Linked DNA regions of Daphnia pulex. The protein of the gene in region 2 purifies or fractionates together with the protein of the main gene of each other region. This does not show direct contact. Links are inferred from orthologs where the notes say so. Each region holds a gene or a part of one and is shown on either strand. Other genes may lie near its edges.

Region 1 (3,753 bases), about 9.9 Mb from region 2:
CGCTTTGTTGAGAACGCAGTACATTGTAATCAAATGCGTACGTATCTGTTCAGAAGGCATAGCCTAGAAAAGTTATAAAATCAGAAAGAATTAAAAAAAACACAAAAAAAAGATAAAGCTAACATTTCATTGGTCATGACTTTTTAACATTTCTACCTGTAGAGTCGGTCCTTCTGGTAAATCTTCGCGTTGAGCTTCAAATAATTCAGTGCCGAAGTGAAGACAATTGTTACGGTGATCAATCCTTATTTGCATATCGGTATGACGGACTGCATTAACAACAATGCGTTCCAAGTCAAATGGAGATGCAAAGGGAGCCAATTGCACCAAACGTTCGAATCGGATAGTCGAGTAGAGCTGGGCTATTTGCTTTACCAATCTGGTAAGCGTGATTTCTTCCAAGGCATGAATATATTGGTTCAAATAAGATGTCTCTTCGACTTCGGCCATAAACGCTAGAATGTTCTTGACTTTGTTACATAAATGTAATGGGTCGAACTCTACCTCCAAGAAATGATACAACTGCTGCAACTGAGGCATTGCAGTAGCTACCACACCAAGGCGAACCAAATCTTTAATCAATCCATTACGTGTAGGAGGCTGATTCAAATGAAGAAGAGTAGCTAGTTTTTGCGTTTTTTCCATAGCACTTTTCTCGGTTTCAATGAAACGATCAAATTCAGGGTGTGCAGAGGGTAATGGTACTGCTAAAGTTGCAACAAGTACGCGCGATCCAAGTTTTTGAAGTTCTTCAGTCGTAATATTTTTTTTCAAGTCCCGTGACAGTTGGAAAAGCCGAAACAGAGCTGCAGCGTGGAACAAATGATTTCCAGACTTTCCGAAAACGAGGGCAATTTTCTGATAGTATTGAGCCATTTGTTGAGGACGGGGCATTTTCTTAGCCAATATCATTAATCCGTGAATGTCTTCAATGGCTTTATATGCTTCTTGCCACAACTCCATTTGAATGGCGAAATCAAGTTGCAAGAGTCTGGTTTCCAAATTCATTTGTTGAGTCTCAGGATTACTCAAATTAACAGCAGTTACAGATGGGGTTCCTTTCACCTATGATATAAATATTGTCTTTTAACACATTTCTAAACAAATAATAATTTAAAAAATAATTTTCTTACCATCAAAGCAAGATGAGACCTTAGATTCTCGCAGAGCTTACGAAACTCGGTTTTCCGAGCATACTTCAGACAAAACTTGAAGGCATGTTGAGCAGTATCATGGTACAGTTTCTCAACCCTTGAATTAGTTCGAAGCAACTCTAAACACTGTCTGTATGACTCCCAAAGAAATTTGACCCATGGAGTCAAAATCACACGGTCAGACCTGTCTTGGGCATCTTCTCCACTGACAGCACTGAGCACAAAGAAATCATGATAACATAATCAACCAGAAAAAAATGCAATGAATTGACTACCTCAGAAGTATACTTTCAGGAGTAGCAACATTGTCCAGATCATCAATATCCACAACAGCTTGATGGGATTCTTGACGTGCTGCTTCTGTTTTTTCCTCAGCTAAATTAAGGTAGAATCGTACAACATTTTCTAATGATGCAACATTTACCTGTAAATAAACAACAATCATCATGAGTTTGTTAGAAGGAAAACATGAAACAAGTTAATCCTTACAGATTGACACATGTTACGGTATTGGAACAAGCCTTCCTTAGCCATGTACGCCTTTTTCAAATCCACACAAAGTTCCAAGTATTTGATCATTATGGGTTCTAGCACTTTTTCTGAATAAGTTGTTGACCGATATTTCTTGCTCTTAATAACTTCAGCTAGGGCATCCAAGGCTCGAATAGGTTTCCCCACTTCAATGAACTCTGTAACAGAAGTAACAGCATTTTGTCAATAAGCGAGCGATATAAACCGGTGAACACAACATTTAAGAAATCAACTTGAGTAGTAATTAGTAAAGTACTCGTGAATAACAAAATACAGACCATTTGCTCTTTTGAGTGCATTTTCAGGTCGTTGATAGAAACGCGACATTTTTATATTCTCATAACACGTCGATCAGCAATCAGAACGCTTCTCTTCGCTGGCAATTGCTCAAGCAACGTGGCTGGGGCAAGAAAATGGCCGTCCAAGTTTTTAGACAACTGTGGTTGGGTTTGGTTAACTGGTTAACTATTCAAGCTGACTTCAGCTACGGGCCACAAAGCGCATGGCCCTGCAATGTGTTTGATAGAAATCGTCCCTAGGTTATTCTGCGTTGCCATTTTACAATTCTCAACAACTTTTTCCACAATTAGCAGCAATTAGTAACATATTTGCTTCTTGTTACGAATTGCGAATGTCGATGCCCACCACTACCCATGATGTTGCACCTTAGAATACCCTTTTGTTTTATATTTGGATGTTTTCACATTAAAGATGGTCGGGCTCTCTTTCTAATCTTCATTAATTTTCATCCCCAAACAGGAAAAAAACTTGTGCGTTTTTTCTTAGGTTGTTTGTTTTTCTTGTTAACAAATTTACCAGGTTTGTTCTGGCAGGTTCTGGCAAAATGTCCCATTATTCCAGACATGTAAAATACTTGGTCGAGTGTAAAAAAATAGATGCGTGCAACCCTGGTGTGTACTGAGAACTTTAAGGCCATCAAAATATAGTAGACCAATTGAAAAACAATGGATACAGATTACAGATACAGAACAGGTCTGGACGCATTCAACGGTCAGTTTGTTTTTATAAGATCTGTAATTCTGTATGATTCTTTTCTATTTACATAATGATTGCAATCTTTCAATATTTAGGCAATTCATCAACAATTGGAAATACTTGAAAACTTTTCCGACAGTAGCGCCGGAAGATAGCAAGGCCCTCTATGAGGAATTATCAACATAACACCAGGAGTCCTGTTTCTCAGATGCCTTGAAGTCGCTTGAAGTTGCAGGAAACTCAAACACAGCAATATAGTATTTTGTTATTTTTGTTACTTAATAAAAAAATGCAAAATTTATGGACACACAAAGTTTTTTTTCTTATTCCTCTTTACACTAAATCAATTTAAAGTTAGGAACGAAACGAGATATTAAAAATATTCGCTTTTCGACCGCTAGAGTGCTCTACGCTGGGAGTTTTTTCTCTGTGTGGGGTGGGCATTGTGGATAGTCGAGGTACCCTTAAATCGCGTGTGTGTGTGTGTGTGTGTAGTCTGAAGTGTCAAATAGGGACTGGTTTGTGTAGTCGTGGTAGAGGATTTTTCCTAGCGTCATTCAAGATGGCAGATTCAGCGTTGGAATCAGCAAAGATTGTGACTCTTTCGTATCAATCCAAAGTTAAAGACAACGATGTAAACGATAGTTCTTCTACTACTAACGTGAAAACCCCTGCTTGTGGCAGCTTGCATCCATCGTCACCCAGTCGAATAATGGATGGTGTGGCAACGGGCAACGTGCCGTTAGACAACCAAGCGGCCTCTACAACAAAGAAAACAGCGGATTCTGACAAGAAGAAAAAGAGTAAGATGGCCGATGAGGCTAGAAGCAATTCACGGGCGTATGAAGCAATCCGACTGACTAGTGGTGGTGAAACTCGAGAAATGTCTGTTAACGAACATTTTGATGGTCAACAACGTCGGTCACTCATAACATCGGCTCTCGTCAATGATGAAAAGAAACGTCGGCGCTCAGATAGATACGACAGTTCAGAAAGTTCAGACAGGTCAGTAAATCTAAAAGATAATTAATGAAAGTAACAATAACACAAATGAAATAATTCTCTTTGCAAT
Region 2 (3,753 bases):
TCTAATCAAGTGGAAAAAGATGAAAATAATTTATGATTCCGTCTTAACTTCGACAGGAATTGGTTACATCTTATCACGCTTGATGATCACGTTGGCAGGTGTCATAGCAACTAAACTTCCTTCAAAATCTTTTTCCTTGCACAAATTTGGGTTTTTTTAAAGAAAATATTCAACAGGCTAAAAAATCCAATTACGTACTATACTTACTTTTCCTCCCAACAAAGAAGCGCTGATTGATAAAAGATCTCCCAAGTTGGCCCCATCTTTTCTGACGTGAATCTCCTAATTGGCTAAACTTTCTTTTTGGGGAAACGAGGGGGTCGATAATTTCAATCGATTGCCGGAGCGGAAAGTTGTGTACATAAAAGACTGTTGATTGCTCTATTTAAGGTTCAATTAACAATGAAGACTGGACAGGAATGCATCAAGGAAAAAGAAAGAAAAACACCCAACAACAAACAAAAACTAATTGGGGAATATATTCTACGCGCCGATGGCAGTAGGACTTTTATTACTTGGTGTCTTCGGCGCTAAACATTCCCTAGAAAAACGAAAAGAAATGATTTGATCAGTGATTATTGAATTAAAAATAAAAACACACCTTGGCACGACGGAGAATGGAATCTTTTGACGCGTCGTAAGGATGATCTTTGGAAGGAATTTCGAGCACTGCTGGAATTGGTTCATTGTGGTTGTCAATCACGTGCCTGATCATCTCTGCTACCTGAATGATTAAGCGAGGAAGTGAGCAAACACGTAATCAATTCATTCCATTCAAACTCACATTCTGGTTGATGAGAATGATGTCAATGTCATCTCTCTTGAGGAAGCGCTTGAAGCAGTCCTCCACTTCGCTGATGCTCGTATCTGTATGAAGCATAACAAGGAGAAAATTTTACTTCATTCTCCCACCTCAAAATCTCAAGTTGTTTCGTACTCTTGTCTACGACCATAAAGTTGGGCTGCCTGTTTTTGTTCATCTCTCCAATGCCACCCAAAAGGAATCCAACACAAGTGTCCTGCAATTAATCATTGTTTTTTAAAATTTGGAAACCAAATGAAGTTCGATAAAATCATTTTTAATATATTTACCTCATCACCGATGACGGCTATAAGCCTTCCTTTCGCTGCAGCAATGGCCATTTTTGTGTATAGTAAATTGAAAGAGAACTAAAGTGAATTGAGCTAAGACTTCTCTTTCTAGTTTCTAGTCAAAAGGGAACTGTCACATGACTCGTGAAAAAAAAACACACCGACTTTCAATCGTGAATCGATTCATTTTATTAATCGATAGCAGCAGAAGAAGCCATCCAACGCCACCTCGTGTAGATTGGTGGCAACTACATTTACATTCGTTTCGGCAACTAGATATTCGAGGCAGAAAACTTGTTGGCTTGGGTTCGGCAACCAATATTAAATAACAAATATTTCGTAAACTGCTCATTTTAGATACTGAAACTAAATCAAAATTGAAACAGGATTTTTAAACTTCTATGATTTAATTGTGTAAAAAAAATTACGTGACAAACATAAGAATTGTCCAACGAGTCCCGTCCTCTAGCTCTAGTAGTCCGCGCACTGACGAGTGCATTCAGAAAAAATCATGGCTGCTTCCGGTAAGGAAAAATTTCTCCTCGTGGCATTTTCTTGATATTTACTGTTTTAAGCTCGATAAAGAGACCGGTGATGTCGAATAATTGTTTTCCATAATTTCGTCTACGTCGTGGAGTAATTTTTATTTTTGTGGTAACAATCGGATAAAGTGACGTTAGAAATCTTTCCGGTTAAATTCACATGTGGCACTTGTTCGCTTCTGATTTGTCGTGTATAGATTATTAAAAATGGTGCCTTGAATAATGATGTGAATTTTTAACTGTTGAATTTCAGCCAAAAAAGGGAAGAAATCCAAAGGAAAGGTCCTGTCATTGAATGAGTTCCTCTCTGACGACCATGGAGGTTCCAGGTCTGGAGAAGCTGTCGTCATGGCACCCTCCAAAACCAGTTGGGCTGATGAAATGGAAGATGGCAAGTCAAATATTTTGTTTTAATACGCTGACATATTGAGTATCAACAATGTAATTTTTTGTTTTATTTGTAGAGGCGATTTACAAGGAGAAGCTGTTGTTGCCCACAGCACCACGGGCAGCCAGGGGATCAGACATTGATGAATCTAGGATACCCAACAATGCACCTTACACAGCTTATATAGCCAATCTACCTTATGATATTGAAGTAGAGGATGTATCCAAGTTCTTCCATGGGCTTTCGGTAAGAAATTGCGCTTTCACAACAGCAACTTTTTCTCTACTGATATTTCATACTCTTTTTTTCTGGTTACCTAGGTTAAATCTGTCCGTCTGCCAAGAGAAGGTGGTGATGGTGGCAGACTGAGAGGCTTTGGTTATGCTGAATTTGAAACTAGGCAAGATTTAGTTGACGCCCTTACGATGAACGAATTGGTAATTTTGCAAATTTTTCTATTTGACCTTGTAGTGTTTCCATTTGTCCTTGTTTTGCAGATGATTAAGAACCGCAAAATCCGAGTGGACATTGCTAGCGGCGCAGATGGTGATCAAGAACAGGGCGCTGGCGGTATGGGGCGAGGTCGTGGCCGTCCTACTCGCAATGACGAGGAAAGGGAAGATCGTACCCCTTCCGATTGGCGTAATGCACCAAGGGAGGGACCTCCTCCAGGCCAGGATCGCGGTGGTGGTGGTGGATTCAGGGGTGGTGACAGAGGAGGAGACAGGATGGAACGAGGTAAATTTGATTCAACAAATTTGATTTCCCAGCAATGTCTTTAACTATTCTGTTTGAAATTAGAACCTGCTGGCGAACGGTACTCTGCTTCATTCAATCCAAGGGATCGCCCACCCGGCTCAGCTCTTTCGTCTGAGAGAAGTTCATTTGGTCCCAGGAGAGACGGTCCTTCTAGTTCGTTCGGTGGCGGCCGAGACGGTCCTCCAAGCTCAGGTTTTGGTGGTCGCGATCGCGATGGTCCTTCATCTTTTGGTGGACGTGACCGAGAAGGCTCGTCGTCGTTTGGAGGACGAGATAGAGAAGGTGGCTCATCTTTTGGTGGACGTGATAGAGACGGTCCGTCTTCATTCAGTCGCGGACGTGACGGTCCTTCTTCGTTCGGTCGAGACAGAGAAGGCGGCTCGTCGTTTGGACGTGACCGGGACGGTCCCTCCTCTTTTGGACGTGAGCGAGATGGTCCCTCGTCGTTCAACCGTGACGAAATGCAGCGAAGTGAACGCCCAAGCGCTGCTGGAGGTAAGTTGACACGTTCTCCCTTTTTGCATTGGATTGTTAATAAGATTTTTCATTTTGATTATTTAGAACCGACCAAGGAAAGACCAAAGTTATCTCTGAAACCCCGATCTGTCCCAATTGAAGAGGGTTCCGTTGCCGATGAACCAACTGCTGCTGTTGCTCCCATAACTGAACGGCCAGCTGCTGCTGCTGCCCCAGCTCCAGCGGCTCCACCCAGCTCTGCATCCATTTTCGGTGCAGCCAGGCCGGTGGATACTGCGGCACGTGAACGCGCCATTGAAGAACGGCTCAAGGAGAAACAGATGAAGGAGCGGGAACCGCCTCTCCGTGGACGTGAAACTGATCGCCAAGAGTAAGCTCATTCAAATGTTTTATTTGATTCTCGAAACTTAATTTGTTTGTTTTTTAAATTTCAGTGATAGAAATCAACGCGATAATTCCCATGGCAGTGGTGGCCGTTCCTCTGAACGTCCCAGC
Region 3 (3,753 bases), about 6.1 Mb from region 2:
CTTCAGTGTACTAGGAAAGTACTGGGCCAGTCTGCCTAGGAGTACTAGGAAATTCATTTTCGCTAAAGTAAAACATAAATATTATAAATAACCATAGAAATACATATCTATGCATACACAGTAATAATACAATCTGCATAACAAACAGGGTAATTATACAATAGTCTTTTTAATTAATCACCTTTGCTTGAACTATCATCAGAAGATGTAGCCATTTTTTCAAAAAGCATATTAGAAAGGGCTGGCAAATTCAGTTCTTCTAATATTTCTGTTGGTGAAGTTTGAGCAGTAATAACAACTTGGCAAAGAACAAAATAACAAGCTCCTCGTATCTTAGAATTTTTGGAGTTCATGTACATCAATGCTAAATTCTTAAGGTAAATGAAAGTTATACTATTAGGTTTTTACACATAGCTAGGTAATATTAATTATTTTCCATACTTTAATAACCACTAAATGGTTGCTCATGGATTCTCCAAATTTTTCCAGTAAATCACCCAAAATTGACAGGGCACAATTTATTATTTCTGCAAAGTTGTCATCCTTTTGAGAATCTCTGAACTTGGACAACAAGGAAATTAATCCAATTTCTTTGTTTAGTAAAGCCGAGACAACAGAATCTTTAGAAAAAATACAATGTAAATGAATTGATTAACATGTTTTTGATGGGACCAATATTTGAAACCTACTGTCTTTGGTTTTGGATACAACATCTTTAATATCCTTGATTTGCTCCAGCATATCGCTGCACGTTCCAGAATGCATCTGAAATAGATAACCTTCCAATACGCTGTCCATTTTATATTCCTCGATGTTACCGACAACCGGACACTTTTAAAAGGCCAACTTCTTCTCGATTATTCGCAATTTTTACGACTTTAAAACTTTAATCATACATATTTAAATGTTAAGACAAGTTTTCAATTGTAGTGGTTCTTCAAAATTTTGCGATCAACGTTAACTCACGTAGGTTATAGGCCTAAGTGATGTTTTCATCCCTCCCGGGTTATGATGATTCGGCTGCTAGAATTGTGCTTTTGCGTAGGCATATTTGCCATGACTGATAGTTAGGCGTAATACATATTTGTAAAATATTCGCTATCATGGTTTTAAAATATCATTACGTTACTTTAAAAATATTTAAAAAAATTATTACCAACTCATTCCTCAAATGGGTATAAGGATTCAACTTTTTTGGAAATGAATAAATGTAGGCTATTTTCTGAAAACAAAAAAAAATCCAATGTATGATTATAATGCGAATAAAAATCAAGAAAAAATAATAATAATAAAAAATCTAAATTATTTTCCCTTCAGAAGATCCCGTTCTAGCTGACAGGCTAGGCTAGTCACCAAGTTACCTATGGTGTTTGGTGAATGGTGATTGCCTGATTGGTGGATGGTGGTTGCCTTGGCCTTCTCGATGGTAGTATTATTTGTTGAAATCTGGCACAGGCTTCCGCCATTAAAGACTCGTGTCCGGTGTGCAGTGCTTGTTTTTCATCATGGCTCGACGAAAAGAAAATGATCGAGCTCAGCAAAATAACGATGACTCGGATTCTAACCCAAACGATGAATTAGAAGACGAGCCCAACTTCGATGATCCGGAAGGTTATGAGGACGATATTTCTGAAGAAGGTACCGTTTGTAACTTACCTTTTGCCATATGGCTTTCCTGAGCATGCCGGCATTGAATCTTGCTAACTGTCAATGTAGATCTTATAGGTGACCTCATCAGGCAGCGTCCGAAAGAAACCGACGGAGTCGAATCAATTGTTGTTATTGACGGTGTTCCTCAGGTTGGTACTGAGAGGATAGAAAAACTTCAAAATGTCCTGAGAAAACTATTCCAAAAGTTTGGAAAAATAACTAATGAATATTATCCTCTTAATGCTGATGGATCAACTAAAGGGTAATTTATTAGTTTTTTTTTTAACTTTTGTGTCAGCCCAATTTTAACATAATATACTTTTGAAGCCATGTTTTCATAGAGTACTCAAATGCCAATGAAGCATTGGAAGTTCTTAAAGGAACTAATGGTTACAAGTTCGACAAAAATCACACCTTCACTGTGAACTTACTTACTGACTTCGAAAAATATAATGACATTCTTGATAAGTGGGAAAATCCAATTCCTCAGCCGTTTAAGGAGCAAGGATGCCTTCAATACTATCTTCTTGATCAAGACGCTTGTGACCAATTCTCAGTTGTGTATGAGCAGGGAGACAAAGTTGCTGTTTATTTGAACACTCAACCTGAACCCTCTCTGCTGGAAGAAAGACCTGTGAGTCACTTCACCTTTATTATTATTATTATTTTTTTTTTTCATATTAAAATTTTATCTGACCAATAATTATCTTCACAGAGATGGACTGAGACTCTAGTGCGGTGGTCACCTCTTGGCACCTATCTAGCCACTTTCCATGCAAAGGGTATAGCTCTTTGGGGTGGTGAAAAGTTTCAACAAATTGTGCGCTTCAGTCATCCAGGAGTGCAATTCATTGACTTCTCACCATGTGAGAAGTATTTAGTATCTTTTAGTCCACTGGCTGATTCAAGAGCAACTGATGAACCACAAGCCATCATCATTTGGGACGTGTTGAGCGGTCTTAAGCGACGAGCTTTTAATGCCGATAAATCTCAAGCCCTGCCCATTTTTAAGTGGTCGCATGATGACAAGTATTTCGCTAGGATGGGAATCGACATGCTTTCTGTTTATGAAACCCCATCATTTGGCCTTTTAGACAAGAAGTCGATCAAAGTAACGTACACGATTTACAAAATCTTCTAATAACCATTTCCTAACATGCACTCTTACATTTTGATAGGTTCAAGGAATTCGAGATTTTGCCTGGAGCCCAACAGACAATACGATTGCTTATTGGGTCGGAGAGGAGAAAGATACTCCTGCTCGCGTCACACTTCTTGAGTTGCCAAGTCGCAATGAAGTGCGAGTCAAAAATTTGTTTAGCGTTGCCGACTGTAAAATGTATTGGCAAAAATCAGGTGACTATTTGTGTGTGAAAGTCGACCGCTATGCCAAATTAAGGAAAGATAAGTCCGATATCAAATACAGGTAATGAGATGCCACTCCTTCAATTAATAGATATAAAAGCTAATTTTCCCCCCTTTGATAGCGGTATCTACTACAATTTGGAAGTTTTCCACATGCGAGAAAAACAAATTCCAGTCGACTCGGTAGAAATCAAGGAAACCATTCAAGCTTTTGCGTGGGAGCCAGTTGGTACTAAGTTTGCCGTCATCCACGGTGAGCCACCGAGTACTTCTGTTTCTTTCTTCGAAGTTAAAACTGGACAAACGCCTACGATGGTTAAAAAATACGAACGTAAACCTTGCAACCAGTTGTACTGGGCCCCTTCTGGTAAGAAAACATTAAATTTAATGTTAAAATTCTAAAATCCTTACTATACTTTATCGAACAGGCCAGTTCATTGTGTTAGCCGGCCTACGTGCCATGTCTGGCACATTGGAATTTGTCGACACCCATGATTTTACCGTCATGAATACGGGCGAACACTTCATGGCTACTGATGTGGAGTGGGATCCAACCGGTCGGTATGTCGCAACTGCTGTTTCCTGGTGGGGTCACAAGGTAACAAAAATCAAGCAATGTATTCATTTTTGACAATGTTTGATCTCTTGTACTTTGACAGGTCGATAATGCCTACTGGTTGTGGTCCTTCCAAGGACGCATTCTCAAACGCGTAGCACTAGACAAATTCTGTCAGCTGC

What was found.
Region 1: the proteins of eukaryotic translation initiation factor 4B-like (region 2) and eukaryotic translation initiation factor 3 subunit A-like purify together in Homo sapiens (co-immunoprecipitation; 3 studies listed by BioGRID and IntAct, with this or other methods). This does not show direct contact. The link is inferred for Daphnia pulex from reciprocal best matches to the Homo sapiens genes EIF4B and EIF3A.
Region 3: the proteins of eukaryotic translation initiation factor 4B-like (region 2) and eukaryotic translation initiation factor 3 subunit B-like purify together in Homo sapiens (affinity purification with mass spectrometry; 3 studies listed by BioGRID and IntAct, with this or other methods). This does not show direct contact. The link is inferred for Daphnia pulex from reciprocal best matches to the Homo sapiens genes EIF4B and EIF3B.

The regions. Positions count from the first base shown.
Region 1 is NC_060026.1:6,108,974-6,112,726, reverse strand, and holds the start of eukaryotic translation initiation factor 3 subunit A-like, read right to left. Parts: upstream 2,455-3,753; 5' UTR 2,013-2,454; coding exon 1,964-2,012; intron 1,844-1,963; coding exon 1,644-1,843; intron 1,579-1,643; coding exon 1,430-1,578; intron 1,369-1,429; coding exon 1,134-1,368; intron 1,066-1,133; coding exon 157-1,065; intron 64-156; coding exon 1-63. Other genes in the region: zinc finger protein jing-like, read left to right, coding at 3,244-3,686. UniProt on the Homo sapiens protein: RNA-binding component of the eukaryotic translation initiation factor 3 (eIF-3) complex, which is required for several steps in the initiation of protein synthesis.
Region 2 is NC_060026.1:16,025,322-16,029,074, forward strand, and holds the start of eukaryotic translation initiation factor 4B-like, read left to right. Parts: upstream 1-1,360; 5' UTR 1,361-1,603; coding exon 1,604-1,616; intron 1,617-1,887; coding exon 1,888-2,025; intron 2,026-2,098; coding exon 2,099-2,268; intron 2,269-2,342; coding exon 2,343-2,459; intron 2,460-2,519; coding exon 2,520-2,760; intron 2,761-2,823; coding exon 2,824-3,276; intron 3,277-3,342; coding exon 3,343-3,628; intron 3,629-3,692; coding exon 3,693-3,753. Other genes in the region: V-type proton ATPase subunit F-like, read right to left, coding at 512-541, 602-724, 785-867, 938-1,019, 1,093-1,143. UniProt on the Homo sapiens protein: Required for the binding of mRNA to ribosomes. Functions in close association with EIF4-F and EIF4-A. Binds near the 5'-terminal cap of mRNA in presence of EIF-4F and ATP.
Region 3 is NC_060026.1:9,963,723-9,967,475, reverse strand, and holds the start of eukaryotic translation initiation factor 3 subunit B-like, read left to right. Parts: upstream 1-1,380; 5' UTR 1,381-1,505; coding exon 1,506-1,638; intron 1,639-1,716; coding exon 1,717-1,912; intron 1,913-1,977; coding exon 1,978-2,284; intron 2,285-2,365; coding exon 2,366-2,761; intron 2,762-2,828; coding exon 2,829-3,076; intron 3,077-3,137; coding exon 3,138-3,382; intron 3,383-3,443; coding exon 3,444-3,613; intron 3,614-3,674; coding exon 3,675-3,753. Other genes in the region: DNA-dependent protein kinase catalytic subunit-like, read right to left, coding at 1-62, 182-371, 442-620, 690-798.